4 linked regions of the Pelodiscus sinensis genome follow. The protein of the gene in region 3 interacts with the protein of the main gene of each other region in a biochemical or structural test. Links are inferred from orthologs where the notes say so. Each region holds a gene or a part of one and is shown on either strand. Other genes may lie near its edges. The genes, in order: corticotropin-releasing factor receptor 1, KIT, MPDZ and HTR2A.

Region 1 (7,820 bases), on a different chromosome or scaffold from region 3:
ATGGTATCTGAACAAAACTGACAGCATGAGAAAAATCCCTAGTGGATTTCATGGCATCTCTTGCACTTCTCTCTTTTGAGAGCAAAATCTCTGCTTGAAGGAGGGCTTTAATTTTCTCTTTTTTTTTTTTCAGGCTGGCTCAATGACACAGAGGCCCTGGTTGACTCTGGAGCCACTTGGAGCAGCGGCATCTCTGTTCCACTCTGTTGTGGTCTAGGAGGGACTCGTATGTCTCCCAAGCCCTGCAAAGACTGCCCAGGACTGAGAGACACAGAGGCTATGACTTCTTTGCCCTTGAGAATAGTAGCAGCCCTTCCCCGAAGAGGCCCCAAGTAGGAGGAATATCATAGAACACTAGAACTGGAAGGGACCTTGAGAGGTCATTGACTCCAGTCCCCTGCCCTCACAGCAGAACCAAGCACCCTCTAGACCATCCCTGATAGATATCTGTCCAACCTGCTCTTAAATATCCCCAGTGATGGAGATTCCACAACCCACCTAGGCAATTTCTTCCAGTATTTAATCACCCTGACAGGCAGAAAGTTTTTCCTGATGTCCAACCTAAACCACCCTTGCTGCAATTTAAGCCCCTTGCTTCTTGTCCTATCCTCAGAGGCCAAGGAGAACAATTTTTCTCCCTCCTCCTTATAACACCCTTTTATACTCCATCTCCTCTTTTCGAAACTAAACAAGCCCAATTCTTTCAGGCTTCCCTCCTAGGTCAATCATGGGAGGTGCTGAGAATAAAGTGTGGGAAGGAAGTGTAATGTGATTCATCAGAGGTGTGTTAGTTCAGGTAACCCTCTAAACCGGATCCTAGGAAGGGAGATTTTGGTCAGATATTAGGAAAATCTTTCTAACTATATGGATAGTTAATCTCTGGCACAGGCTTCCAAGAGGTGTTGTGAAATCTCCATCCCTGCAGGTTTTAAGGAACAAGCTGGATAAACACTTGTTGGCCCCAGGCTACGACAGAGACAAGAGGGGAGAGGATGGACCGACTTCTGTTGGAGGGAGGGACCATCATCAAAGCTACTCAGAATCTTCCTCAGGTCTGGGGAAGGAAGAACCCAATGGTCTAGAGATGCTCTGGGTCAGCCACAGGACCCTGCAGCCCACATGCCAGACATGGCTCATCCGGCTGCCAGGCAGGTTGCTTAACTGGGCATGTGTTAGCCAGGCCACTTGCAGCTCCCAGTGTCCAATGGGAGCCACAGAAAGCATTGTGGGCTGGGCCACCACATCCCTGCAGCTCGCATTGGCCAGGAACGGCAAACCACAGCCACTGGGAACTGCGAGCAGCTGTGCCGCTCAGAGACACAAACCATATGGAATCCTGCCTGTGGCGAATCTCCATGATTCTAGGTTCTAGGTTCACCTGGTTCTGCCTCAGCACAGGTGCAGAACTTCCCCTCCATTGCCAGACTCTATGAAGTGTGTTGCCTTGTAATTTCATTGTGCTGGATCTGGTGTGTTATTTATCAGTTTACCTAGACAGTATAGACCCGGACCTAGCTAAGGCTGCCCTCTACTCCACTTTCATCCCTCTGCCCCACTTGGTCAATTGCTCGGGATCTCTTCAAATGGTTTGGGATGAACTCCCCAGAGGGGCTCTGGACAAGGGTGTGGACAGAAGTGACAGGAAAGGGGCAGTTCTTCCTGAGCTCAAAGACGGGGAAAACACAGAGGAGCATTTAAACGCTAACTGGAAACAGACAATATTTCCCATGATTTTTGTAAAAAAAAAACAACCTCAAAAATCCAAAGCCTACCACGAATGGTGCGACCATAACATTGCGCGAGAGCTCTCTTCATGCAGCATTACGGTAGCACAGCGACTACAACAGAGACTCGGCTCATCCAAGGCAGGAGCGTGGAACCGCGCTGCACCCTTGGCGCGCGTTAGCACTTCCGAGTAATTCTTCCCAATGCTCCGCGCTGCTGGCACTTTGGACGCCCCGGTTTTCCGGGTAACACGAGGGTCTGCAATTACTTCTGTCGCACAACCGACAAGCTTGCAAAGCGCCGCTGCGCCCAGAGGGCCGGTCGAACTTAGCCCTCCGCCTTTGCGGACTGTCTCTGGCCGCTGCGGGCTTTCCCCCGCCGGGAACTCAGCGGGCTGCACAGAGCTGGTCCCCTCTACACCGGCCCAGAGCGAGCCGCGTTCTGCCACCCCCGCGCCGGGGTTTGCCAAAAATGTTCGGGTGCTCGTCGAACCCCCCCCCCCCCCCTTGGCACCGTGTGGGTTGGGTCTGGGTTCTCAGCGGAACCCGGCACCTCGCCCGGGGGAAAGGCAACGGCTTGTCCCGCCCGCGGCTCCAGCTTCGATGTGTTCCCACAAGTATCCCTCGGACCGGGGCCGGTGCAGCGGGGAAAGCGGGCGGGCATGTCCGGTAGGGGCCCTGCCGGCTCCAGCCAGCCAAGGCAGCGGGGGACTCGACTCGCGGCCACTTTCAGGGAAGCCGGGAGCAGATGGTTCCGCGGGGAACCAAGCCGGAGCCGCGCGGAGCAGCGCGCCAGGGGATTTGCCGGAGCAAGCGGGGCTCGCCCTCTCCCAGGGCTGCCCCCAGACCGCGTCCCCAGGACGACCCCCGGGAGCCTTCCCTCTTCGCTCTGCCCCGGCTGGAGCGCCCGCGGCTCCTTGCATGGCGCGCTGCTGCGGGCTCGATACATCGCCAACTCGCCCCCAAGTGCCGAGGCCGGGACAGAGGCGCCCCCGGCGCAGCTTGTGCCAATGCAGCCCGCTCGAGTGAGCGGGGTCCCTGGACAAAGCCCGGCTCTTACCTGCAGGGCGAGGCTCGGACCTGGCCGCAGCACCATCCTGGGGCTGTTAATTCCCCCCTGGCCGGGCTCCGGCCGGCATGGCCCGTCTGCTGCCGCACTGCTCGGGGATGCTGGTGTCGCGGAGGAGCGGGGAGGGAGCCAGGTCTGCTTGGCAGGAGCCTGCCTGCGGAGCGGGCTCTCCGGGAGCAGGAGCTGGCCCCCGGCTCTCGCCGCCAGCCCCCGGCCGGTCCTTTTATAATCCTGCTGCGCTCGGGCTGCCCGGCTCGCCGCCTTCCGGCTCCCCGGCTCGGATGGGGCTGGGTTCCAGCCTCCCCCCGGCGTATCTCCTCCTCCTCCACAGCCCCCCTCTGCCCTCGGCACTTCACCTGCCCAGCCAAGGGCAGCCCCGCCCGCGCCAGCGGCTCCGCTCTCGCCGGTTCCTAAGGGGGCCGGTGCTTTGCGGCCAGCAGCGAGGCTGGTGCTGCAGAGGCTGAGCCGGGGCGGGGCGGGGGGCTCTGCCGGAGGCCGGGGAGGAGGCGGGCTGGGTATTTTAACTCCCCCGCTGCAGCGCTGCAATGGGCAGCCCCCGGGCACGGGCAGGAGCCCCGCCGGGGCGCACACGGGGGGCTGGGGCGCAGGATGCAGCGGGCGGCTGGGGCGGGGGCGCTGAGCGGGCGGGACAAGGCGGGGGTGCGGAGTGGGGAGCTGTCCCGGGTGCGCGGCGGAGGCTCTGCCGCCTGCCCCACTCCGGTGCCGGCCGCCGCCTCTGGTGCTCCGGGGGTGGTACTGCGCCCTGGCGCCTTCCCTCCTCCGGACGGTGCGCCCTGTCTGCCCTCCCCAGCGCGGCTGTGCCCTTCCCCAGGACCAGCAAATATTGGCAGCTCCTGCTGCCCACGGCAGGTGCCCGCGGGCTCAGTGCGGGGCAGCCCTGAGCGAACCGGAGTGAAGCCGCAGCTCTCCGGCCAGGCACGCGGCCCATCTCGCACCCCTGGACACGGGAGCGCCTCAGCGAGTCCTGTGAATTCAGACTCCAGTGCGCTTCCAACCGGGATTTAAATCAGCGTGTTTTATTCCCATCGTACAACTGGGGAAACTGAGGCAAGAGGCAGCGACAAGAGTCGTGACTTTGCCGGGGGGGGGGGGCAATTTAAAAGTGCTGATTCTTAACCACCCCTGCTCTAACTGCTAGACCGTTCTGCCACTCCAGGGCCCCTCTCACTTTCCCTGGAGTCCCTAGGAGAGAGCCAGGACAAAATAGCTCCTTGGTTTGTTTCTTGGCGGTCCAGCACCCAGGCTATAATTTTCAAGCTGTTTCCAGGCCAGGAGGAACAGACCTGGTAGGCAGAGGCTTTTGTTCCTTGCTGCCCAAGGTGCCTGGACTGAGGAGGTTGGCAGAGGAAGGGATTGCCTTTATAAAATCAACTAAAGCAGTGGCTCCTTGCAATACAATAGCCTGGCTGCAATTCCTGGGGCCAGGAGACTTGGGCTGCCTGGACTGAGGGGATATTCTCTGATGCTCAGAGACCCTGTAGCTTGCTGGGGGTTGCGGCAGTGCCAGGGCTGCTGCACTGTTGTGTTTTTCTTGCCAGTAAATCACTTTGAGTGGGACCTGAGGTCCCCTTGCGGTGAGCACCCAGCATCCTGCACTGCGGCTTCCCATGTCACTCTGCAGGCCTCGGTGGGCAACGGCGCTAGCTGCCTGAACCGGTTTGTGGAAGGACGGCTGCACGGCTGGGTAGGGTGCTGGAGGAGTGCCTGCCCCAGGGGGATTCCCTGGGAATAGACCTGCCAGTGAAGAGCCAGTGAAAAGGGGCTCAGGGAGCCATGTCTGTGCCGACATTCGCCCCCGGTTTGCTGGGGACTGAGCAAATCTCTTGCTTTTGGCCAATAGAGCACCAGGTGCTTTACAAAGGAGTGCAGCATTATTGTTCCCATTTTACCGGTGGGGAAAGTGAGGTACAGAGAAGTGAAGACACGTGCCCAACATTACCCAAAAGGCCAGAGCAAGGAACTCAGTGTTTCTGAGTCCTGAGTGTTCTGTCCACTAGGCCTTCCTGCCCCCCTGCTGCCGTCCTACTACCACCTGGTTCTCGGGGTATACTCCAAAGACAAGGGATTTGCTTTTTTCTGAAGCCTGGGGTGCCAGGAGTCAGCCTCCAGCAGAAGCAAGAGGCCATAAGAACAGCCATACTGGGTAAGACCAACGGCACATCTAGTCCCACAGTGGCCAATGCCAAGTGCTTCTTTGGGAATGAACCAAACAGCCAATCATTGAGTGTTCCCGCCCCTGTCCTCAGCAGAAAGGGCAGATTCCCTGTCAGTTCCAACAGCAGTTCCCCCTCAGTCAAACACTGCTCCTGCCAATTACTGTGGCAGGAGTAGCCCTGGGTATCCTGGACAGATAAACAGGAGGTCAATGGGTAGCAGGTTTAAAACTAATAAAAGAAAGTTCTTCTTCACACAGCGCGTAGTCAACCTGTGGAACTCCTTGCCAGAGGAGGCTGTGAAGGCTAGGACTATAATAGAGTTTAAAGAGAAGCTAGATAATTTCATGGAGGTTAGGTCCATAAAAGGCTATTAGCCAGGGGATAAAATGGTGTCCTTGGTCTCTGTTTGTCAGAGGCTGGAGAAGGATGGCAGGAGACAAATCGCTTGATCATTGTCTTCAGTCCACCCTCTCTGGGGCACCTGGTGCTGGCCACTGTCAGCAGACAGGATACTGGGCTAGAAGGACCTTTGGTCTGACTCAGTACGGCCATTCTTATGTTCTCATGTAATACTGCAAGAATGATAGGATAGAAACCAAGCCTTAGTAAAGCAACTGCTTGCCTGATTCCTCCTATCCCCATTCTTAAGGCTCTTTTGATTTCAGCTGCTTAACTAAAGAAAAGGGCTCAAGAGTTGAATTTAGTTTTATAGCGTTTTGTAAAATACCCATAACAACAGTTAATGAACAGTACAGGAGATAAGAAGGCAAACATGGATTCCTCCATGGTTCCCTGTTCTGTTCATTGCCTTTGGGGCACCTGGCATCGGCTACTGTAGGAAGACAGGCCACTGGGCTAGATGGAGCTGTGGTCTGATGCAGTCTGGCTGTTTTTATATTTTTATGTTTTGGACTAAGACATGGCTAATGCCAACTAGAAAATTGGTCAATATAACCATGTAGGATTTCAGAATTAAATTACACAGCCACAAGAGACCGTGACCCTTATCCTTGGTCACTAGGTAGAAATGCCGACTAGGTTTAGATTTTTGACTAAGTCCCTTAGCGTAGGCTCTGTGAAAGCTGTTCCCCATTCTGGCACTTGAATGCAGAAGGTGGGCCCCGCAAGAGACTTTAAAATACCTCGCCAAATGCCAGTAAAGACTTCTGTTTAAAAACTCTCCAAGGTCACAGAATCCCTGGCCTTGGATGGGTATCGCTGCCACCACCCAAATACAAAAAAAAAAATAAACAAATTTGAGAACCCAGGAAGATGCATTTGGGAATTTCTTCCTGTGAAGTACCCTCAAGCTCTTTAACTTTCCCTCTGGTGAGAGCTTGAAAAAAAAACAACCAACCCTGTGATTTTTCTATGCAGTCTTAGGCATGTGCACACAGAACCTCTTGCCTTTTAGACACAATCAGATCACAATCTTCAAGTGATTTTTATCAACAAAACAAGTAAGTTTTTACTTGGTGAACATTACTTGGTTGAAAGTCTCAGGGGGTAGCCGTGTTAGTACATAACTCTAAAAACAACAAGCGGTCCTATGGCACCTTAGAGACTAACAAGTATATTGTAGCATGAGCTTTCATGGGCACAACCCACTTCATCAGTTTACTTGGTTGCTAGATGTTACAGCGTAACTGAGAAAAAGTAAGAGAACAGTAAGAGTAACTGAAGTAACAGTAAAAGTAACTGAAAAAACCCCACAGAGAATTGCTTCCCTGGGATTCAGTTTGGAGAATAACGGTGTAAGGAGGTTACATGTGCTCTCAGGGTATGTCTACATTGCAAAGTTAAATCAAAATAACAGCTGTTATTTCGAATTAACTTTAATAGCGTCTATACATGCAAACTGCTATTTCGAAATTCATTCGAAATAGCGGAGCGCTTAATTCGAATTTAGTAAACCTTATTCTATGAGGAATAACGCCAAATTCGAAATAGCTATTTCGAATTAGGTGCTGTGTAGACACTTAATTCGAAATAGGGGGCCTCCAGCCCTTCCCAGGGAGCCCTGGTGACCACTCTGGGCACAACCAGGAAAACTTACTCTCCTCTCCCCGAGCCCCGGAGCCATTAAATGGGTAGCTGCCTGTGCCAACTCCAAGCCTGCCAGCCCAGAGCCAGCAGTGGCGACTGGGGCCCCTGATCCAGTGGCCCCAAAATATAAGCCAGCAAGCCACTGGCAGCCAGCCCTCCACCGCTCCCCAGGACCAGTCTGCCAGCTCCCAGGAGCCTGCCAGGGGCTGGAGAAGGCAGGCACCTTCCTGGTCCAGGGTGGAGATCATGGACCTTATTCAGGTTTGGGGGGGATGCCCCCAATGTCCATGATCTCTGCACTAGATGGAGGATAGCTGCCAGCCTGGCCTCCAAAGGCCACATGCGAACCCAGGAGCAGGTTTGCACAAAAATCAAGTTGGTCCGGCGAGATCCCCCAACCCTGAGCCCTGAGCTTCCCCTCCCCCTTCTTCCCCTGGCTTCCCCCTTCCAGCTCCCTCCTCCCAGGTTTCCTCCTCCCCTCTCCCACCCTCTCTCTTCCCCCTCCCACCTCCTTTTCCCAGTCTCCCCAGAGGTTCATCCCCCCAAGTTTTGTTTAATAAACCCAGTTTCTATTTTTGAACATACGTGTCTTTTGTTTGACATCAGGAAGGGGGGCTAGAAAGGGGTAAATGGAAGGATGTGAGGGAGGAATGGGGCACGAGCCCCACAGTGGGGAGGACTGGAGTGGCTCTGAGGGCTCCTCAGTGTGGCTCTGAGGGCTCCCGCAGGGCCTCCTGGATCCTGACAGCCCCCCGATGGACTCCCCGGATGGCAGCCTGCAGCAAGTGCAGCTGGGCTGATGGC
Region 2 (7,667 bases), on a different chromosome or scaffold from region 3:
GGAATGGGGTACGAGCCCCCGATGGGGAGGACTGGGCTGGCTCTGTGGGCTTCTGGGCGTGGAAGCTCTCCTGCAGCCCCCCGATTGCCCCCTCTCCCCAGATGGCAGCCTGCGGCAAGTGCAGCCGGGCTGATGGCCGAGTGGTGTGATGTGCCCAGTGTGGGCACTCCGGGCACTCCAAGCCAGGACTGGTTTTCAAGCAGGGCACCCCTGAGAACTGTCTGTCCGGGGTGGGGGTCGGGTCCCTTTAAGCACAGCCCTTGGCTAGCCTGAGACAGCATCTCCACGCTCTAAGTCCTCCTCTGATGTCCTGCCCGCACTGCTTACGGCCATCCTTAAGCCCTGTTCAGGGTCCACTTAATGTGGACATGCTAGTTCGAATTAGCAAAATGCTAATTCGAACTAGTTTTTAGTTCTAGACGCGTTAGTTCGAATTAGCTTAGTTCGAATTAGCGCTGTAGTGTAGACGTACCCTTATTCTTGTGATGTACGTCAGATCAATCAAAAGTTTTATTATTTTATTGAAGTTTATATGCAGATAGAAATGTCCTCTCCCAAAAATGTAATTTAAAGAAAATACCGGAGGAGTTGACTTAGTCTCCCTGGGTATGTCTACACTACAAAGTTAATTCGAACTAACGAACGTTAATTCGAATTAACTTTGATAGGTGCTACACTAGCGCTCCGCTAGTTCAAACTTAATTCGAACTAGCGGAGCGCTTAGTTCGAACTAGGTAAACCTCATTGTACGAGGACTAAGCCTAGTTCGAATTAAGGGGTGTGTAGCCCCTTAATTTGAACTAGTGGGAGGTTAGCCCTCCCCAGCTTTCCCTGGTGGCCACTCTGGCCAATACCGGGGAAACTCTATTGCCCCACTCCGAGCCCCGGAACCCTTAAAGGGGCACGGGCTGGCTACGGTGCCCGTGCCAGGTGCAAGCCTGCCAGCACCCAGCCAGCAGTCCCTGCACTTGGCACGGCTTGAGCCAGCCACCCGATGTCCCCCAGGCCTCCCCCTCTTCCCGGGACCAGGCTGGCGGCTCCCGGGACCTTCCCCAGGACCGCAAGAGTCGGGCACCCGCCTGGTCCAGTGTAGACATCGTGGACCTCGTCCATGACCTCCGCACTAGGCACAGGAAAGCGGCCGTCTAGGGCAGGAGAGCTGCCAGCCTGGCCACCCAGGAGCAGGTTTGCATGCAAATCAAGGTGGTCCACTGAGACCCCCCGACCCTGAGCCTTGAGCTTAGAATGGCCGTACTGGGTCAAATCAAAGGTCCATCTAGCCCAGTAGCCTGTCTGCTGACAGCAGCCAACCCTAGGGATCCTGGAGGGGATGGACCAAAGACAGTGACCAAGCCATTTGTCTCGTGCCATCCATCTCCAGCCTTCCACAAACTTCGGGCAGGAACACCACTCCTACCCCCTGGCTAATACCACTCCATGGACCCAACCTCCATGACTTGATCTAACTTCTCTTTAAACTCTGTTCTAGTTCTATCCTTCACAGCCTCCTGCAGCAAGGAGTTCCACAGGTTGACTATTTGCTTTGTGAAGAACAACTTTCTGTTATAGGTTTGAAGCCTGCTACCCATTCATTTCATTTGGTGTCCCCTAGTCCTTCTATTATGGGAACTAATGAAGAACTTTTCTGTATGCACCCTCTCCACCCCACTCATGCTTTTATAGACCTCTATCATATCCCCCCTCCATCTCCTCTTTTCTAAGCTGAAAAGTCCCAGTCTCTTTAGCCTCTCTTCATATGAGACCTGTTCCAAACCCCTCATCATTGTAGTTGCCCTCCCCTCTCCCACCCTCTCTCCTCCCCTCTCCCACCTCCTTTTCCCAGTCTCCCCCAGGTTTGTTCAATAAAGAAAGATTCTATTTTTGAACACAATTGTCCTTTATTTTGTACATCAGGAAGGGGGGCTAGGGAGGAATAAGTGGAAGGAGATAAGGGAGGAATGGGGTACGAGCCCCCAATGGGGAGGACTGGGCTGGCTCTGTGGGCTTCTGGGGGTGGAACCTCTCCTGCAGCCCCCCAATTGCCCTCTTTCCCCAGATGGCAGCCTGCGGCAAGTGCAGCCGGTCTGATGGCCAAGTGGTGTGATGTGCCCAGTGTGGGTACTCCGGGCAATCCAAGCCCGGACTGCTTTGCAAGCGGGGCACTCCTGAGAACTGTCTGTCCGAGGTGGGGGTCGGGTCCCTTTAATCACAGCCCTCGGCTCGCCTGAGACAGCAGCTCCACGCTCTAAGTCCTCATCTGATGCCCTGCCGGCACTGCTTCCGGCCATCCTTAACCCCGGTTCAGGGTCCACTCTGTGTGGACATGCTAGTTCGAATTAGCAAAACGCTAATTCGAACTAGTTTTTTAGTCTGGATGCATTAGTTCGAATTAGCTTAGTTCGAACTAAGTTTGAATTAGCGCCGTAGTGTAGACATACCCACATAGATTTAATCATCTTTGTAATTACTTATTTAGATTTGTAGACATGCAAAACATTTGGTCTGGAAGAAATCCCAGTAGGATTTTTCATGACCTGTAACAGAACCTGTATCCAGAACAGGATGTAAAGGTCTGACTTGATCTCCAGCAAGAAGTTAATTCTTTACTCAGACCTGACACAGAATGGAAGGAAGTAGCAGGGCTAGTGTTTGAAGGCCCCAATCAGTCACGGAGGAAATGATACAAAAATACACCTAGAAGAGGCAGAATGCTTTTTGAAGGCAGAGTTCCACAATCACTGTTCACAAGACTGAGCTGTAAATAAGATGGGTTGTTTCTCTATATTTTCTTGTTATGCTAAGCTATATTGGTCTTTATACACAGTATCCTCAGGAATGAAAAAACCTTGGGGAAGAATAACTTTTTTGCAAATATTTTCAAATTCACTGCACTGGGTTACTAACTGAAATGTCTTACTACAACCTTGAAGAGGATTTCCATGCTCAGAGGTAACAAAGGGGAAAGTTACAGTACCCTGCAGTTTGTAAGAACTAATCTATTTTCTTAATATAGATTGCAGACTATAAACTCACAAAGGTTTTATCAAGAAGTTTAGAACCTTTATTTTCTGCTTAAGAGTCCACTGAAAAGACAATTTTTATAATAGAGTATCATGTATGTAATAACACAAGACATATCTTTAAGAATAGGATATAGTTTTTATAGATCCAGTAAAGACTGTATCTATGCACTTGACATCTGATGCTGGAAAACTCTTTAAGGACTAAAATGGCAATATCGCTTTAAGATTATAGGGACAAATGAATTTAAATATGCATTTTATAGATTAGATATATAAGGAGTCTGAGACACCCTCTTCCTCAGTTGGAGTGAATAGACATAAATTGAAAATATTTTGCTATTAAAATGCCCTCCAAAATTAGTTTTGAGGTTGACTCCTGGTGAAAAATGTGATTTTAAAGAATGCTATTTGATTTTTTAAATATAATATTATTCAGTTTCCAGCTATCTACCAATAGAGACCAGTGTTCTAAGATGAAAGTAGAGAAATTGAGACAGCCATTTTATACATACAAGACAAAGACAAGACTTTGATCTAAAGACTGTCCTGCCCAGATGGGAGGTTAGAAGGAATGACAGTTTTAGAAGGAAAAAAAGAAAAGAAAATGAATAACTTATTTTCAATAACTCTTCTGATCTTTACTGACACACTTGAAAGTAAGCTCACATTGATTCTAAAAACTTAACCTGTCTCCCTCAATACATGCGGATGCATAATAAACAATATTTTAGGGGTTTCAATTCTCTTTAGCTTTTTGACAGTTTTCCTTCACACGGCCCAATTGTGTCTTTTCTCTCTCTGGATGTCTAACAACATAAAAAAGTTATTTCCGCATGGGAGTGCCTTATAGAAATGAGTAGGATGTTGTCTGGGTTATCTGGTGCTGAGTGGAATTTCAGTGCTGTTAAACGTGTCTGTTTATGTATACACATGATCTGTTCGCCAGCGTGTGTGTGTACGTGTGTCTATACCTTTGGGCAAGGATTCTCCCCTCCCCTTTTTTTCACGGCTGTAGAGATATTTGATCCCATTGTATGGCTCAGGTTCTTTCTGAAGGGAAAGAGGCTTTGTTTAGCTGTAGCTCTGCTTGTTAAGGAATGAGTTCCCCCTCCAGAGCCCAGTCCTGCCCAGCGCTCCCTGCAGGGTGCAGGCTAACCCTGGTGTGGAGAAGCCCCATTACCTACACAGAGGCTACACGCAGGATTGATGCCGATTCCATAACCATATCCCAGTGGCCCTCCGTTTAGCGAGTGTCGGGGCTGGAAGCTGTGACCAAGCTGCCGGCTGGTCGCTTCTCAGTGCAGCGCAGCGCCCCGCCGCTGGCTTTAGGCGGGCTCCCGGGCTGCTCCCCGCGCTCCGCAGCGTCCGAGAGCTCGTCCTGATAACGTGTGAGGCCCCTCTGGCTGACACCCGGCGTCACGCGACACCGAGTGTCCGACCCGCCCCCCCCCCCCCCAGCCCCCTCGGGCAGTGGCTCAAAGGGAGGGGCCCGGCGGGAACTGGATGAGCCTGACTGGGGGAGCCCAGCCGAGACGCCCGAGCGAGCAGCGGCCCGGGCCGGGGGGGCGTGGCTGGAGGAGGAGCAGGTTGGCGGTGGCGCTGCGCTCCCTCCACCACTGCCGAGGCTGCCGCTGCCGCGGTGTCTGAGCGCTCCGGAGGCTCGTGGCAGCGCCGGGCGCGAGGAGCAGCATGGAAGGGTCCTGCCTGGCCTGGGAGCTGGCGGGCGCCGTGCTGCTGCCGCTGCTGCTGGGCTTTCCAACAGGTGGGGCTGTGCCGCGCGGGGGCTCCGCGCTCCTCCGCCTGCTTCGTGCGCGGGGGGGACGGTGCATCCAGGAACCGGGGAGGGAAGGGGCAGCACGCACCGGCTTCTCCGCTCCCTGCGCGGGGCTGGCAGCGCGGCCGGTGTGGAGGAGTTTGGGGATAAAGGCAACTCCTAATGCACCTCCGCCTGGGCCGAACTGAACAGCCAGTAGCCGGCGGAAAACACGTCAAGCCGGCTCCCTCCTTCCAGCACCTGTGCGCCTCTCTGCCGAGGCAGAGGAGAGTGGCGGCCTTGCCTATCCCCCCCCCCCCCCGGTAAAGACACCCCAGCTGTGTTTAGTGTGAAAACTCTGGCTGCAAACAGTCGGAACAGCGGGTCGCACGGAGGGGCAGGTTCCTCCCGCTATTCCGAAGTCCCTCCCGCTCCCGGGGGCTGGGGCTTTGGCTTTGTTGCGCTGCGGTGAGTGCTGCTGCCCTGCGTTTCAGTTGCAGGAACTTTGCGAAGCTTTGCTTAGTTTGGCCCGCCAATGAGTCGCTTGAGCGCGAGTTTTGGAGACGCGTGAGCAGTGCTTTCTGCTGGCAGAGTTGCATTGGTTTTGGAGGGGCAGCAGGGTAGCCTGAGAGCTACCGAAGTGTCTCATTGGGGGACTGACCAGGGAGTCAAAATAATCATTGCTGTTGAGCCAGTGGAATCCGCATTTTTGTTCATATTCCCCATTCGAGGTCTGGCTGCGCGCCCCGGTAGAGGTGCTGCCCATAGTCAGGGAAAAGGGGCGGTAGTTAATCCAGATTTGTTCCGAGAACTGTTATCTGCCGGGGAGAGGGGTTTTGCATCTGATTACTGTTTTGTCAGTAAAACTATCTCTCCATCAGTACAAAACGTCCCTGTGGTTAGATTGCTGTTAACCGAAATAGTAACGAGAAATGCTTCCAAGAGCCGCAGTCCGGTGTAGCCCCAGTGGCGAAGTTGTAAGTAAAGTATAGCAGACCTTTTCGTGCGGTCGCTGATTTCCATCTTTTTTTCTCCCATTTAACTGCTCTCCGGAATGAACCGTTTCATGGCTGAATTTAGTAGCGCATCTCCTAGTCAAAGTGGTTTTGCGTTTTGTTAGTCTTGTGCGAGGCAAGTTTTTCATCTGTTCTTTCCCAGTAAGAAAACCTACCAAACCCTCTTTTGAAGGAGGTTGTTCTTGTACCGGGCTTGTGGATTTTTAGGTCCTTTCACCCATGCCATACAGGACTGTCCTAAAGAACTGAATTGATGGTAATTGAACCAATGGGGCAGCACCAATGCATGTTTATCATGCCATTGTCATGCTAATATATTGCCCTTTTATTTGGACAAGTCACTCCGACTTGGCATTTAGCAATTCCTGTCACCTTCATTCATGCTAAATTTTACCCTATTCTGCAGGTAGTCCAGCTGAAGTACACGGGGGTAATTTGTAGCGGAAGGAATGTAGTCAATTCCGAAAAGGTTGCAAAATCAGTCTCAGCTAGCATATGTGTGAAACCTGAGCAGTTGCCATCATCTGGATTTAAATTGTATAGAAGGTCAGACAGTGTCAAACCCAAGTCAAATTACCGATGTCATCTGTCAGTGCAGTAACTGCAATATGTCAGGCTGACAGAGATGAGATTTCCCCATCAAAATATTTAATCAAAAACATGTAGGAGAGAAGCTATCAAATATTCTCAGAGACACAAATTCATCCCTAGGATAACTAATGGTTTATAGGAGTTGCACCAGGGATGAATACAGTTCACCATTTGTATGAGCACTGGAAACCTGACAATATAAAAAAGCTAATGGTGGAGGAAAGCAGTGGATGGTGACAAAACATGAGTGGTGATGGAACTCAGTTCTAACAATTTTTTAAAGAAGTGGTCTTGCAAATAACCCTCTCTGGCCCAGCGATTCTTTAATTTGTCCACAATGGAATGAGATAGAGAGACAGACAGACTGACTCTGTAGACATGGATAGTGCACTAGGAGTGGCAGTCTCTCTCATGCCGTTCACTGAATTTTACAGTTATTTAGCCACAATGGAAAAGCTTCAGCAGGACCGAGTAAGAGAGATTTTCCTATAGCTCAGTGGTTAGGGCACTTAGTAGCAGACTGCTTCCCCTGGAAAACTTGAACCATGAGTCTGCCATATCCCAAGTGAGTACTCTAACCACTGGGCTAAAAATTATGAGAGGGTTGTCCTCTTGCTGCCCTTTTACCCTCAGGCTACTTAAAAAAATGGCATAGGTGCCTGACACCAAGAGAGGGGTAGTAGCTGAGGGCTTGTCTACACTAGGAATGTTAAAATATGTGTGTGTGTTTTGGTAAACATGTAACTTCTGAAATGTTCAGTGGCTACACAATAACACATGTGGGGCGGGAGAGACAGTTTCATGGGAGCCAGCTTAAAAATCAGCTCCCTATGCATGCTGACTCCTGCCTGCCCCCTACACTGCTGCCTCTGTATCAGAGGCAGCAATGTGGAAGGCAGGTAGGCATCTCTCTGGCTGTCAGTGTTGGCTCCCTGCGAGCGCTGGCTCCTGCCTGCTCCCCCTACCAATCAATGTTGCTGTCTTTGTATCAGAGGCAGCAGTGTGTGTGGGGGGGCGGAGGGCATGGCAGCAGCACGGGAGGGAGCTTATGTGTAACCCTGAAGGTTAACTGATGAGCCTAGGCTCATTGGTTAATGTACACAATCATATCCCTAGTCTACACTTACAGTGCTGTCGCTGCACTTGTGCAGGCTGCTATGCTGCTGAAGCACTTAGGAAGCTTCTCCCATCAGCCTAGAGATATGTAGCTATGTTGATGGGAGAAGCCACAACCCTGAGCAAGTTAGTTTTATCGACATAAGTTTGTAATGTAGACCAAGCCTG
Region 3 (7,416 bases):
TTTGGGACATTATATAAGTTAGTCATTTTTTTTTTTCTCACTATATAACTACTCTAGCATGCATTTTGTACCATTCTTCCTTACAGAACGAAGCATAGCAGCTATAACAACTAAACATTAACTACCCCAGACAACTATAAAATAAAAATGACAGTCACACATTCTAGATACCAAATTCTTGAATGTATTTTAAACACTAACAGAATACATGAATATAGTCAGAATTATTTCAAAATTTTATTTTCTTAGACACATTAAACTTAAACACTACAAATAGCATAGACTTCTCTATCTTACTAACGAAGATGTCCAAGATTTTTTTCTTTTAAGTGACTGATGCTTTTTTGCATAACAAAATGGAATTTTCCAGTTTCCCTTCACATAATTTCTTGGCTAATCAAGACAATTTTGGGAACCTATAATATGCAAAGTGAGACATTCAATAACAAATATTAATACTGAAGCTCATTTTCTTAAGACACAATATTTAATTAAACCTTTAAAAGCTCAACTATTTTTCTCTGCTATGTTGTACCCATTTCTTTTCCAAAAGCAAAGCAAATCATGATTCTAAATTAACATTCCACCATTTTTACTTTTAATTTTTCCCCCATTCACAAGTTGTCCATTTGAGAAGTGATAGAGTAATGCACTGAATCTTGTCCTGATACAAATTAAATCAAAGGACATTTCACCACTGATTCCAGTGGGAGCAGGATTGGGCTTTACAGATATTACTTAGATTGTAAGCTCTCCAGGGCAGGTACCATCTTTTGATTCTGTTTGTACAGCATCCAGCACCTTGGGGTCCTAATCCAGGACTAAGGCTCCTATGTAATACAAATAAATAGCAATAATAGACCCTGATTTGTTCTTGCTGCAAAGCAAAACTTCATGGAACAGGTTTGCTATTCTTCTCCTTCACGTTCCTCGTACTTTACAAGAAATCCCAGCAAAACGAACAATTTCTTTTCCACAGGTTGTGGGTAATATGGATCAAATATACTACTGCTAAATGATGTATTATTTTTAAAACTGAAGGAGAAATGCATCACAAGACCAGTCAGCAAAGTAATGGCTGCATCTCATGAACTGGAAATATGAAAAAAAAACGTGGAAACATGTTACCTTTCCTTCAAAAGGTGTTACTGTTTATTCCACACTTATGTCATCAGTATCCGCTTCTCAAGTGTTTAAAAGCATATAAACCTAGGTAAACATAATAAACAAAATAAAGTTATCAGGACACAAGGCTAAATTCTATCTTCTGTTATCTTATACAATTCTCACTGGGTAAATGTGTCTGCGGCAGAATTTGGCCCTTGTTCATAATCCTCTGGAAAAATATCTCTATATGTTCATTCAAATAAGTACGTTTTTAAGATCAACATTTCTGAAATTCCATCAAAATTGGAATCCAGAAGTTGCCCACCCCTAAATGTAATTGATTTATAAGATAATGCAACCATTTGTGGCCTCTTGATGTCTCAAGATCATTTTGTGAAGAAATGGGTTTTGCCCACGAAAGCTCATGGTACCATGTACATATTTTTGTTAGTCTGTAAGGTGCCACACGACCACTTGCTTTTAAGGTACAGACTAACATATACCCCTCTGAGACTTTAACTCCATCAAAGTCTTCAGCTTCAGTTTTCATGGAGTCTCTCATGTAAACATCCTGGCAAAAAGCACTAAACTGGGGAATGGAGTGGGGGAGGAGAGAAGGGTTCTCTTTTTTAACCAAGTCATTCCAAGACAAACAATCACACGAATTTGAGGAATGATTTGAACATTACTAGGCTCTTCCACCCCACCATAAATCAAAGCAACCCCCCCTTCCTCTTCACCTCCACGCACTTTCAGTGAGAATCATTTACACTTTTTTTTTCAGATTCACATGTGATCTTCTTCCCAGCAGACCTAGAGCACGGGGAGGGGAAGAGGAGAGGAGGGCGAAGACACCTGCTGTGAAATTGCTGGTGTGAACGGAGGAGGCTCCTCATAACCTGCAATTTCCCCGTCTGTCTAGTCCAGGCAACATGTTCGCTGACACCTGGCATTGGAGATCTGGCTTTGTCATGTTGAAAGGGGGGGGGGGGGGTTGATTAACACGGTATCGTCTGCAAAGATAGGGCTTGTGCGTGCAGAGCCCACGGGGCGACCTGGGTGGGGAGGGGGCTACGATCGGCTCGGGTTACAACATGCCCACGGCAGCCGCGACTTGCAGTAGCCTGCGGAGACGTGGCTTTTGTTTCCAGCGAGGTCTCGCCTGGCCCAGCACCGGCGGCGTCGGTGCAACAGCGCCCAGGAGGCAGCCCTTCGCCGCGCGTAGGGCCGCGCCCTGCAGCCCTCACAGGCGCTGGAGCATCATTCCCCAACTTCTCCCCCACCCCCGCCAGCCAGGCCGCCCGCCCCAAAGCTCGGCAAAGAAGCAACAGGCTCAGCCCGTCAGGAGCGGCTGCTTCCCCTGCGCAGCGCAAGGCCTTGTGGCGCCCGGGCCCCTCCTCCTCCTCCAACCAGCAAAACCAGGGGCCACAGCTCCGGCCCCTCCCGCGCAGGGGAGCGGGACTATCGGGCTACACCCGGTTTCAGGGCGAGGGGAAATGCCTCCCCCCCCCCCCCCGTTCTGCCCCCTGAGCGCAGAGCCCCGGGCACCCATAGAACGTTCCCCGGGCGCAGCCAGCGCTACCCTGCGGGCACCCCCCGGCTCGCCGCCGCGCTCCGCTTACCCGCTTGCTGCTCCAGGCGCCTCGCCGCCGAGCCAGGGCTGGGCTGGGGGAGACCACTTGCAGCCCTGCTGGCCGGGCTCTGCAGACTCCCCCCCCCCCCCCCCCCCCCAAGTAACGGCCCGCGAGGAGGTGCAGGATAAACAGGCAGAGGCTACCATGAAACTTAATCCGGCCCAGCCATCAGGCGGCCAGACGCCAAGCCGCCCCCTCCCCCTTCCTCCCAGCTACCCGGCGCTCTTGAGCCGAGCCCCGCAGAAGTGGGAGTAGGAATCGGCTGCACAGAAGGAACCATGACAACAGCAACAGGAGGGGCCCCACTGGCGGCCCTCGCGCTCCCTGCTATGCCCTGAGCCCGGCCGGCCTGCTGCTAGGCAGGGCGCCTCGGAGCCGCGCTGCTCGGGAGCACCGTTGCAAAAAAAAAAAAAAAAGTGGCCTCGGCCGCCCCCAGCACGTCTTCTTGCGGGAGGGGAGAGGGCTGGCCCCTGCAACACGCTACCTTGCGTGTGGAAGCGAGGTTGCGGAGCTAGCACGTTCAGACCCCTGTCCCGCACACATACACACACTCCACACAGTTATGGGGTTGCGCAAGAGAGGGGCTTTAGTGGCCTCTTAAAAACTCGGTCCAATCTGATCTGTTACCCGCCGGGGTCCCAGCTGTTAAGCATTATTCCCTATAGAGCCCTTATCTTGTTCTCTTTCCACGCTAAAGGGACCTCAACTTGCACTCCACTCTTTTTATAGTAGTTTGGTTCAGATATTAGACCTGCTCCTGAGCCGCCTCCTTTCCTACCAGTGATTGTAGTTTTGCAGCCACATTTTCCTATTTTTAAAATGTCTTCCCCTTCTGAGAAGAGCACAAACATGTCTGTGTACATATGGGAACACTGCCTGTGACTCTACCAAGTGTTGTAAAATGTATACAACTGAAAAAAGACACAAGTCGTGTTTTCTAATCTGTCATTTTGCTTGGAAGTTTAGCAGATTTTTAAAAAGTGCTTTTTTCACATCCTATCCTTTGAAATGTCCTGAGTGGTTCCTTCCTCTGTATCCTTTGAGAGACAGTTCCACCATCAAATAGATTTGATCACTCCTATGTTTGATTTTTCCCTAATCTTGTATCTCTTGCTGAGGCCACACTTTTATAAATTCCAGAAAGACTGCTTAAATTATTGCAGCTCCACTTGTGTGCTGCAGTTTTCTGTGGATGATTTTCCTGTCTAAAATGGAGATATGGGGGTGAGATAGAAGCATTATACTGCTGTTTGTTCAGGGAAATGGATATTTTTTGTTCAGGGTTTGAACAGAGAAGGAAAAGAAAAAACTTGATTTTTTTTTTTAGAACTAAAGGAAAGGGGATTTTTTAAAGTTTTTATTTGAATATAAAACAATAGCCAAAAACCATAATGAAAAGCATATATATTGTATTGTGCAAACACCTTTGAAGTAAAATACAAATACATGGAATAAGTGAAATTTGAGTGAAATTTATTTTCAACATAAAAATGCTAATTAATTTATATTTGCTGAGCACTTCGCTTTCTGACGCACTTTTTATTTAGTAACTATCATTAGAGTCATCATTTTTCTATCTAATGCCAAGAAATCACCTCTTGTTCCCTGTTTATGCCAGCAGCTTTGTTGCAGTAGCATCCATAGTGCCAGAAAGAAGGCTGGCTCACACTGCTGAATACGTCATGTTGCAGTAGACTAGGGGCTGGTACCCTATGTTGACTTGCTTGTTTTTGTGTTGATTTGGTTTACTTCTTCAAAATGTAACTGATTTTTAAACATTGCCACATTATATCAATAAGAGACACCATTGTGTTCTTCAGCTCAAATGCAGGTAAAAAAACACTGACCTTTAGATACATGTATTACTTGTATCCTGTACAACAGAGATTCTACGCATACAGCCATGATAATAAACTCATAACATTTACAACCTGAAAGATTGTCTTTTTGTCTCATTAAAAAAAACAAAAACAAAACATCTTCTTGTCCAGAGTCCTACATTGCATCTTTGCAGGGAGATTTTACCTTGCACAGATGTTTTGAAAAACTACATTTACTGGATTTCTCTTATCTTTTATGGCTGTAGAATCTTCAAAACTCAAAAGAACTCCAGTTGTTTAGTTAAGCATGACCTTCTAACTTGTTTGGATACATACCGGCTATGTTTTAATCACACTCTTTTTTTCCAGGCATTTTCCCACCTGATACTTTAAAAGGGTTTCCAGGATTTTCCATGACAAAAGATTGCATTTCTTTGGTCTATTGTGTTCCAGTTTGTCCACTGATTTTTTTAAATTAATTAACAGGGTTATATTTGTCACCTTGATGATTCTATACTCTACTGGGCTTTTATAAATTCCCTGGCAATTCTGCACTTTGCACACTCTTGTTTGTGCAAATTTTTAAAAGTAAAAGAAAGTTTGTTTGCTTGTATAATTACTATCTGAAATATTAATCACATGAAACTATCTGCAGAAAAATAGAAACAGAGGAGCAGAACTTGTTAATGACTGTTCGATATCGGGGTAGTGAAAAGTTGCCAAGCATCTGTGGCCAAGAAGCACTGTGCCTTGATAAAGAAGAATGCTTCCAGGAGCTCTTCAACATTCATGGTACCATCTCTTACAGAAGCCAGCATGCACTCCCTTCTGCAGCTAGTCAGCTACACTAATCAGTAGCAGCAATGTGGGTAGGGACATCACCTCCACAGAAAATTTGGGGTCACTTACATCCTAGGTGGTGCTAACTGGGAATGGTGTTTGTGCTTTGGGGAGTGTAGTTGTCCTTGAACAGAAATTAAGGAGTAACTAGACCAAATTGAGCAAGGTCAGGAATCTTGTGTATCTCATCAAGTAAATCAATAAATGCCAAAATCCTTCAAGCAATATTACAAATAAAATCAGTTGAACCTATCTATTGGCAGGGGGATTTTTTTGTTTTTAATTTTTAGCCTACAAATTGTGTTCCTTTTTCCTATTAGACCTACACATTTTGTGCTTTTTCCTCTTAGAAATCCATATCAATTTGTTGCAAATGGGAGATGTGGGGACAAATGCTATCTTTTTGTAGCAAAGCTTTGGGGTTAATAATAAGAGGGCAGAGGTGGGAGGGGGGGAATTTTCAGCAGAAAATAAAAAACAAGTTGAGAAAGTGGAGGCCCATGCAGGAAAGGCACTCAGGTGGAATGGAGGTGTCCCATTCCAGCTGGGGCAGTGCTTCTCAAACTTTTTGCTCTGCAGCCCACTCCGCTCAATGCAGACCTTTCTGCGGACCAGGAGCAAACCACCCATATGACAAAGTAGGTACAGGAGTGGGCTGGGGTGCAGGGTCTGGCTGGGAGGTAGGGTGCAGGAATGGGCTGGGATGAGGGATCTGGAAGGAAAGGAGCTGCAGGATAGGGATGTCAACGTTAGTCAACTACATGATTAACCGATAAGCCTTATAGATTAATCCTGTTGACTATATGCATCCCTTCTCCCCTTGCTGCTTCCCACAGAGGAAGAGGGGAGGCTGCCACAGAGGAGCCTCTGTCCACGGCAGGCCCAGACTTGCCGCAGACAGAGGCTGCTCCATGGGGAGTTTGCGCTCTACCACAGACAAGGGCTACTGCCACACCAACACTGCAGCCTCTGATACAGAGGCAGCAGCACAGGGTAGTAGGGGGATCCCCGGGAGTGGAGCTGGGAGTGCACTAGCTGCTAGCCCTGCCCCTGGGAACTATCTAAAAATCTGATGCAGTTACACAATTATTCAATTACACGGTATCTAACATTCCTAGTCCAGGAGCAGGGTCTCAGCATGAGGCGGATGAGTGAGGGGGATGGGAGTGTGGAATCTGAGCATAAGGGGGATGAGGGTACTTACCTAGCTCTGTACCTCCTGCCACTTCCAGGAACTGCCCCCTGCTGTTCCCATTGGTTGGGATTCCAGCCAATGGGAGCAATGGGGAAAGCCTCCAGATGAGCCGTTTTTTGCATTGCCATTCCCCCAGCTGGAGGAGAGGGGAGGGAGAGCAGCAATGTGTGGAGCTGCTTCCTCCCACCACAAGCCGGATCCAGCCCATGAGGCTCATGGCGCCCCCACCCACAGCAGGAAGCTGGCGCTGGGCTGGAGTGCCTGCTGCAGGGGAGGGGGAACAAGCCCTGAGCCCATAGCTCACTTGCAAGATGGTCACAGGCCACTAGTTTTCCACAGACCACATTTTGAGAACCACTGAGATGGGGCATTCCTCCTAACAGATATAAAGGAGGCTGATACATCTTCACACACTGATCACCACTCCTGGGGATGTTAAGGTTGACAGAAAGACAGACTATGGTGACAGGGGTTAGCTCATGAGGACAGATAGGAATGTGGTGATCACGAGAACCAGTTAGTGATTTCTACCTGCCAGTTTTGAAAGTGGTTGGTAGTATAACCCACTACAGCATTTTCCTCAGAAGAAAAGATGTTAACTACTCAGATACCTTATAATATTCTAAATTAATTATATCAGGAAAGCAATCTGAGTTGATTGTAAATAGTGCAATTAAGGCTTCTGGTTAATGTACAGCTCTGGTCAAAAAAGAAAACATGCTGTTAGGAGAGTGACCCTTTATCTGGGATAGATTATCCCATTCCTGCCCACTGTAGAACTCTTGTTCTCTCCTCTGAAGCTGCTGGTGTTGGCATTTGT
Region 4 (7,205 bases), on a different chromosome or scaffold from region 3:
ATTGCGCTGATTCCTGACCTTTTGCCCCTGGTAGTTGGGGTAAAGTTCTTAGTTCCGCTGGAAGAGGGAGGGTTTTCTAGAATCAACTATTTGCTGGTCATTGTGATACTGATAATGTATCAGGCTAATGCTGCATTTCTAGGAAAGCTTATGCCAGAATGACAGAGTGATTTTTCAAATGCATGTATCCTGGAAAGGCATTGTTCCTCTGGCAAAAGACATTGCAGTGCAATGGGTTGGGGAGAGGAGAGAAAAACAGAAGCAAACCAAGAGTCCTTCCTCTGTCAAATGGAGAGAATGGAGTTTTTCTCTTTTGCAGTGACCATGCAGCTGCCCTCCTATCGCTGTGTGTGTAGTAAGGGTGCATTTGACCATGTAAATACTACAATTAAAATAAATGAATGTCTTCATACTTTTGCAGCCTTCACACACCAGGAGAAGGAGGTGAAGCTCTGTGCTCCTTATGAATTTCTGAGCAGGGGCAGGGATTGGCCAGCAGGAGTCCCTATTGCATGTGTCATTGAACCATCCAGAGCTTGAGTCTTTCACTTTTATCTCACAAAACAAGCAATTACTGCTTCTATGGCACTATTTTGGATTAGCTTCCCTATTACCAAAGGTAATGATACTACTGATAAAATCAGTCACAGTCCCATGCCAATTACTAACCTAATGTGATAATACCATTGAGGTAGTTTGTCTGCAACACACAGGCAAAGTGAAAAAAGCAGCATACTCTTACATTACTGTTTCCTAATAAAATCATCCTAAAGTTACAGTTTAGTGGTGGATGATTTAGCCTATTGAAACAGGCTTAAAAGCTATTTAATCTCATAGCTCTTCTCTTCTTGTATTATGGCAATAGGTAGTTTTGTAAGTTTTGAAGAAAAACTATTAGGCTGCTGCTTTTCAACCGTCTCTGCTGTGTAACAGGGATTACTAAGGATTTTGATCAAAATGACAAACTTCCAATACCTATCACAATAAACAGTGTCACAATTCAGTTTACATTTTCAAACTACTCATTAGAATAAAAAACAAATGTCTTGATATTTTGGTTGTTAATTGGTAAATGTTGCTAGCAGTTGAGTACCATTAACTCTATTCACTTTTCAGCCTCCTTAAGAAACACTTATTTCCACATTTCATAGTAGCTAATGAAATTTAAAAGATAAACATATAAATAAAGATCACAGTGGAAAGAAAATTATTTAAAATTGCAATGCTTCATTTAAAAAAATAAAAAAATAAGTAGAGGCAGGCTATTTTAAACAGAGAGTATCAAGATATTAATGTTTCTTTGCATATTTGCAGAGGAAATTAATTGACAGGAAGTTACTTCCCTAATAGAAACACTGAAAACTGTGTCAAAGACAACATTGATTCAAAAGAGAAATTATAAAACAATTCCATAAAAATCAAAGTGGTAAATTGCCACTTTGGACTGTTTAAAATGTCCATTCTTAGAAGTTAAAAGTTAATAAACACATACATATTTCATCTGTTCTTTATATACATTTACCTCTATAGTTATTTTTCACCTTGCATAGGGAGGTGGCAAGTGAATACCCTAAAACTAGCATATATTTACATTTTCCTTATCAAGCTGAAATAATAACAGTGTGCGCATACAATTTTTTAAAAGCTACTCAATACGTGTAATAGGTTAGACTAGTGATACCTACCATACAGTATGGTTAACATTGACACAGGCATGACAAGGAAACCCAACAGCATATCAGCTATTGCGAGTGACATTAGAAAATAATTAGTGGCATTCTGTAGCTTTTTCTCCAGTGACACAGCCATGATAACAAGAATATTTCCAGCAATGGTTAGAACAATCACAATAACTGTCAGCAGAGCTGGCCAGTTTTTCTCTGAAAGATGAAATAGTGAGGAATGGCACGGTGGAGTCACTCTACCGTCACATGAAAGATTAGTTAGGTTTTCGGAGTCCATAGTCAAATTAAACAGATGAGATGTATTAACCTCTCCAGGCCAAAAAACATTTTTGTAGAATCTTCTTTCATGATTTAATTGGATTAAAGAATTCACAGTTGGGTTCTCCTCATCACAAAGACTATCCATTGCTAAGTCTGAAACCGGGGCAGATGTACAGTGAAAAAACAAAAAATTATAACCCTTTGTCACCATCAGGCTTTATATTCCTCTGTTGTTCAAAGCTGAAGCTGATGAAAAGGAGGTACTCTTTATGATTGATTGTATTTTCATCTTTAACATAACACTGAGAAAATGGATGGAGTTATTCTGGATCCTCAGATACTTTTGTTTTCAGTTCCACTTGGAGTCCAATCGCTGCATATGTTAAAAAATCCAGTTGAAAAGCAAAACTCACAGGCTAGAAAATGTGGACTGGAGGCTTCAGAGAGGAAAAACATTGGCCAAAAAACTTTTGCATCCACCAGGATTCCCTTTTGTAGCTACATCCTATTGCTATTGGTAACTGTAATCACACAGTTTTAAACACAGCAGTATGAAAGTAGCTTGCTATACAAAGCAAGAGAACTCTTTGCACTCTGTATTAAGAAAGTTGATTAAAGATTCCATTCAGCATCTTAGTCTCACAATAATTAGATATGTTGTTACTTATAGTTCATCTTCGATATTACAGTTGATAGTCTCTGACTTCTGTCATATGACAATATCATTTTAAGTCTCATACCAAGATTACAAGTAATGTTCCATATTGATTTTAATATGTAATTGTAATAATTACTTTTTGGCCCAGCATGGCTTGAAAATAGAAATAAAATTATTATGTACTAACAGTTTTTAAAAATACAAGATAAGGCAAGACTTACATTGTACTTCAGAGCCCACACTCAAAGTGCATTAGAGTCACTTTATACCCTGATTTCTTGTATCCTTTACTGTGTTATCCACTTTTGTCTTCTTTCTTTTCAGTCTCTACAAAAATGATTTTGAGTACAGCTTTGTTGACTTCTACTCTGTATGTTAGAGTGATGCCAGTTCCTGTGCTGTGAATCTTGTTCTTTTCTTCTGAGAGATGGGCAGCTTGCTGTCTCTGTTCCTGTGCATCCCCCCCTCCCCAAGCTATATTTAAAATAATAACAATAACCATAGAGCCCACCTCCAAGTGACACGAAAGAAATCACACAAACTAGACGTAGCAGTCTCCACAAAGGGATTACTGATTTCAACAGGAATGTAATTTCTTGCTCACTGCCTTGTTCAGTTTGTCAGACCTCCCACTAGCTAGATGTCATAAACTGCAAGGTAGCAACAGCAAAAGAGGGCAGACCAAATAGGGTCTTTTTTATACATAAAACCCAGCTTTCTCGCTTTATCACTTTGAGGGCTTAGGGTTTTTTTTTTTTTTAATTATGATTTTCGTTTGTAAAGGATGCTGGGCAAAGCAGCTGCACGTGCTGATAATATTTCACAGGGTGAAGTTTTAAGAAAGGCAATAAATAAGCCTTGCAATGGTACATGCTGGTAAAATTGTAAACATGCAGATTTTTCTATCCTAAAGGTTGCAGCTTTTATGCTAACCCTAAGATGAATTACTAACATTTAGATTTTTATTATTTTATTTTTGGCTCTTCACTGATGTCATAAACAATTTGCCAAGATATATCTTCTGATAATAAATATAATACTTGTAACATATTATAATACATATATACTCTCCTGATGACCATACTGCATATATACCTGGATGTCATTTTTAATTTGTCAAGAGCATGATGTTACAATTAACCCCAATAAGCTGTGTGAAAGAGAAGCATCCTAAGTGAAGTAATCCAATCAGATAACACAATCTCAATGAAGAAGAGAAAATAAATGCTCTTCCAGGATTATTGCCTATTCCCTTGTAACATTGGTGCCAGGATGCCTGTGGGAAAACTAGCTAACAGATAATGAGACGTTTGAGAGTAACTGAGAATAATGTATGTGTTATATTGACAATAAAACAAGCTACCCATTGTTAGGGCCAATTACAACCTTACCAATATAAAACATCTCTCCCCACTCTTCTCTGTCTAAAGACTGAGCTCCTTCACCTTCTTCTATCTAGGTTCTTACCTTGCCTTTATCATCATGCTATCTGAATGCCTTACAATCATGGACCAATTTTATCCTCACAGCATGCTTTTTTACAAAAGGGAGACTGAGGCACAGAGTAGATTAAGTGTTTTGTTCAAGGTTGCACAAGAAGCCTGTAGCTGAGCTCTAATTTGCACTCAGCTCTTTTAAGTCATAACCCAGTATCTTAGCCCCAAGACGACCCTTCATTCCCACTTCCCTGTTTGGAAGTGCCACTGGGAATGTATTGATCCTCATTTTACATAAGAACATAAGAACGGCCGTACTGGGTCAGACCAAAGGTCCATCTAGCCCAGTAGCCTGTCTGCCGACAGTGGCCAACACCAGGTGCCCCAGAGAGGATGGACCGAAGATAATGATCAGCGATTTGTCTCCTGCCATCCTTCTCCAGCTTCTAACAAACAAGGCCAGGGACACCACTTCTATCCTCTGGCTAATAGCCCTTTATGGACCTAATCTCCATGAAATTATCTAGCTTCTCTTTAAACTCTGTTATAGTCCTAGCCTTCACAGCCTCCTCTGGCAAGGAGTTCCACAGGTTGACTATACGCTGTGTGAAGAAGAACTTTCTTTTATTAGTTCTAAACCTGCTACCCATTAATTTCATTTGGTGTCCTCTAGTTCTTCTTTTATGGGAACTAATAAATAACTTTTCTTTATCCACCCTCTCCACACCACTCATGATTTTATATACCTCTATCATATCCCCCCTCAGTCTCCTCTTTTCTAAACTGAAAAGTCCCAGTGGCTTTAGCCTCTCTTCATATGGGACCCGTTCCAAACCCCTTATCATTTTAGTTGCCCTTTTCTGAACTCCCCCTTCTTTTTGAAGGATTCTTTAGATTTTGAATCTAAAGATAACTTAGATTATTTATCTGAAGACCTCTGGCTTCCTTTACATTTGTTAAAATCATGCGAACTGTTCCCGTGTGGCAACAGAGAGCCTTTGTTAACGTGGATCTTGATGGAATCGAGGGTACTTGCACTTCTTGGAGACGCTCATCCTTCAGAAATTGGGCCTATATTTTGTCCTGGTAATAGAGGCCAAATTGTGTTGTAAGGACTACATAGAATTCACTGATTTCTAGTGTATGGCAACCTTCATGTTTCATACAGAAGAGTAACCTCTGGAAGCTAAGGGTCTGAACATGTAAACATTCATTTTGAAATGAGCAAACCTCCACTTAGGGGTGTTGGAATAATTTGCACAGTGGAGGTTCTGAGAACCATTGAACCAAACTGCAAGTTCTGTTTATAATGGAAACCACTTCAGGCCAGGGGGTGCAGTAGTGCCCCTAGTTCCAGCACGTATGGCTCCACTCAGCTAAAAGTAGAGCCCTTCTTACTTTAAATCTATGCAATAAACTTACAGTATTGACTACAGCTGCAAAACCCATCTGTTTTCTTGGATATTTTGGTAAGGTGTGGGTGGCATTTGGAGGCTTTTTTACTTTGATCTGGGTTGCTACTAAATTGGGATTTATTATGATTTTTATTAGTGGTTGTTGGAGCAGTCTATTCCTGTTGTTGTGGAGAACTGATAGCTGTGAATTACAAATTCTTACAATTACAAATCAAACCAAATAGTTAAATAGCACTGATATGTCTTCGCCATAATCTCCAGAGTGTAGTGAGTTTCTGTATCCCTAAACACCTTATTTCCTCTTTCTTTTGTACTGAGGGGAGATCATCAAAGGTTAGATGTTTCAGTTCAGAAAAAGTACTCTTAGGGATTGACTACACTACAGAGATGGACACAGCTGCAGTCGATCTTCTGGGGTGTGAATTTGAACTGAGAGTGCTCCCTTGTTGGTGCCAGTACTCCTGCTCCTTGCAAGGAGTAAGGGAAGTCAATACAAGTGTGTGCTTCCATTGACCTTCCGCTGTTTGGACATTGCAAAACCCAATTTAAAATACTTTGACTCCAGCTATATAATTAACATAGCTGGAGTTGTGTATCTTAAGTTGACTTTCCCCTTTACTGCATAAGAGGCCTTAAAGTTTTGCTTTCTTTTCTTCATATAATTGGACTCCAATTCATATGAGAACATTTTTATGAGGTTTTTGGCTAGTCACACTTCCAGCCTGGCCACAAATACCCCATAAACACTCTTTGTAATAGGATATTGACTCCTCCTCTTCTAATTTTGTCTGAAACCAGGAAATGCAGCAGAAAATACATACCTACAAGAAGTTAAATAAACTCTTCCAACCCCAAATGTTTGAATCGGTTTTATTTAATTATGGATTAAATTTTGGATCAGATATTCCTTTGTCCCGAATGATTCACTACTCCCTGCATTTTGGATTGATGTACACTATTTGTAATGTTGACTTGATAGATTGTTCCACATTCTGTTATTTATATACCTCAAAAAGTGTGCTGGTTATCCTAGCCCCCCTCCCCAACCAGTTCCTGCAGTGAACATATTAAAATTTAAGAGGAGACAAGACACCTAACAAACTAAAAAGAAAGTTTAAAAAGAAGAGGAAGTACAAGGAAATGTATTTAGGTAGTTATACGCACATCTTGGAGGGCTATATATTAATGAGCTTTCTTTTTTATTATTGTTCTGGGAATTCATTTCTAAAAGAAGTGAGTCTAGTTTTATGTATGCACTTTCTATAATTATTTGCTTGACATGTATATATTCTTGCTTCACATTCAGTCCTCAGTTATGGTTTATGACCTCTTGGGTTTTGTATACATGATGAAATTGACCAGCACAGTTGTAGAACAATAAAAACAGAGTAATCATTCCAGAATAAAGTCACTTTTATTCCAGAATAAAGTGTGAGCCCAAATGAGTAATATCAGAATAGCAATAGCATAATAGTTGTTATGCTTTAGCTTTGCTGATGAATTTCCCTTTTCAGGCAAGTTCTTGTATCTGTATCTGAAAAGGCTCAGCTCGCTAGCCAGAGTGCTACTTTGAATGGGCCAGAAACACTGAAGAAGGAGAAAAGGTCTGAACCAGGAGCATCGAAGGCAGTACACAATGGTGTCTGAGGATGGGCAGACCTGAGAATGAAAGGAGGCATGAGCTTCCCCTCCATCTGTAACAAAAATGTTTATTTTAGTATTGGTTAGAAGAATATAAGTATGATACATA

Evidence for each region.
Region 1: the proteins of MPDZ (region 3) and corticotropin-releasing factor receptor 1 form a complex in vitro, tested with the Homo sapiens proteins (2 studies listed by BioGRID and IntAct, with this or other methods). The link is inferred for Pelodiscus sinensis from reciprocal best matches to the Homo sapiens genes MPDZ and CRHR1.
Region 2: the proteins of MPDZ (region 3) and KIT form a complex in vitro, tested with the Homo sapiens proteins (2 studies listed by BioGRID and IntAct, with this or other methods). The link is inferred for Pelodiscus sinensis from reciprocal best matches to the Homo sapiens genes MPDZ and KIT.
Region 4: the proteins of MPDZ (region 3) and HTR2A form a complex in vitro, tested with the Homo sapiens proteins (2 studies listed by IntAct, with this or other methods). The link is inferred for Pelodiscus sinensis from reciprocal best matches to the Homo sapiens genes MPDZ and HTR2A.

The regions. Positions count from the first base shown.
Region 1 is NC_134739.1:4,617,669-4,625,488, reverse strand, and holds the start of corticotropin-releasing factor receptor 1, read right to left. Parts: upstream 3,225-7,820; 5' UTR 2,821-3,224; coding exon 2,785-2,820; intron 1-2,784.
Region 2 is NC_134715.1:85,355,024-85,362,690, reverse strand, and holds the start of KIT (mast/stem cell growth factor receptor Kit), read left to right. Parts: upstream 1-4,539; 5' UTR 4,540-4,712; coding exon 4,713-4,785; intron 4,786-7,667. UniProt on the Homo sapiens protein: Tyrosine-protein kinase that acts as a cell-surface receptor for the cytokine KITLG/SCF and plays an essential role in the regulation of cell survival and proliferation, hematopoiesis, stem cell maintenance, gametogenesis, mast cell development, migration and function, and in melanogenesis.
Region 3 is NC_134716.1:23,689,434-23,696,849, reverse strand, and holds the start of MPDZ (multiple PDZ domain protein), read right to left. Parts: upstream 3,053-7,416; 5' UTR 2,730-3,052; intron 1,210-2,729; 5' UTR 1,129-1,209; intron 1-1,128. UniProt on the Homo sapiens protein: Member of the NMDAR signaling complex that may play a role in control of AMPAR potentiation and synaptic plasticity in excitatory synapses. Promotes clustering of HT2RC at the cell surface.
Region 4 is NC_134711.1:288,143,665-288,150,869, forward strand, and holds the start of HTR2A (5-hydroxytryptamine receptor 2A), read right to left. Parts: upstream 3,234-7,205; 5' UTR 2,158-3,233; coding exon 1,686-2,157; intron 1-1,685. UniProt on the Homo sapiens protein: G-protein coupled receptor for 5-hydroxytryptamine (serotonin).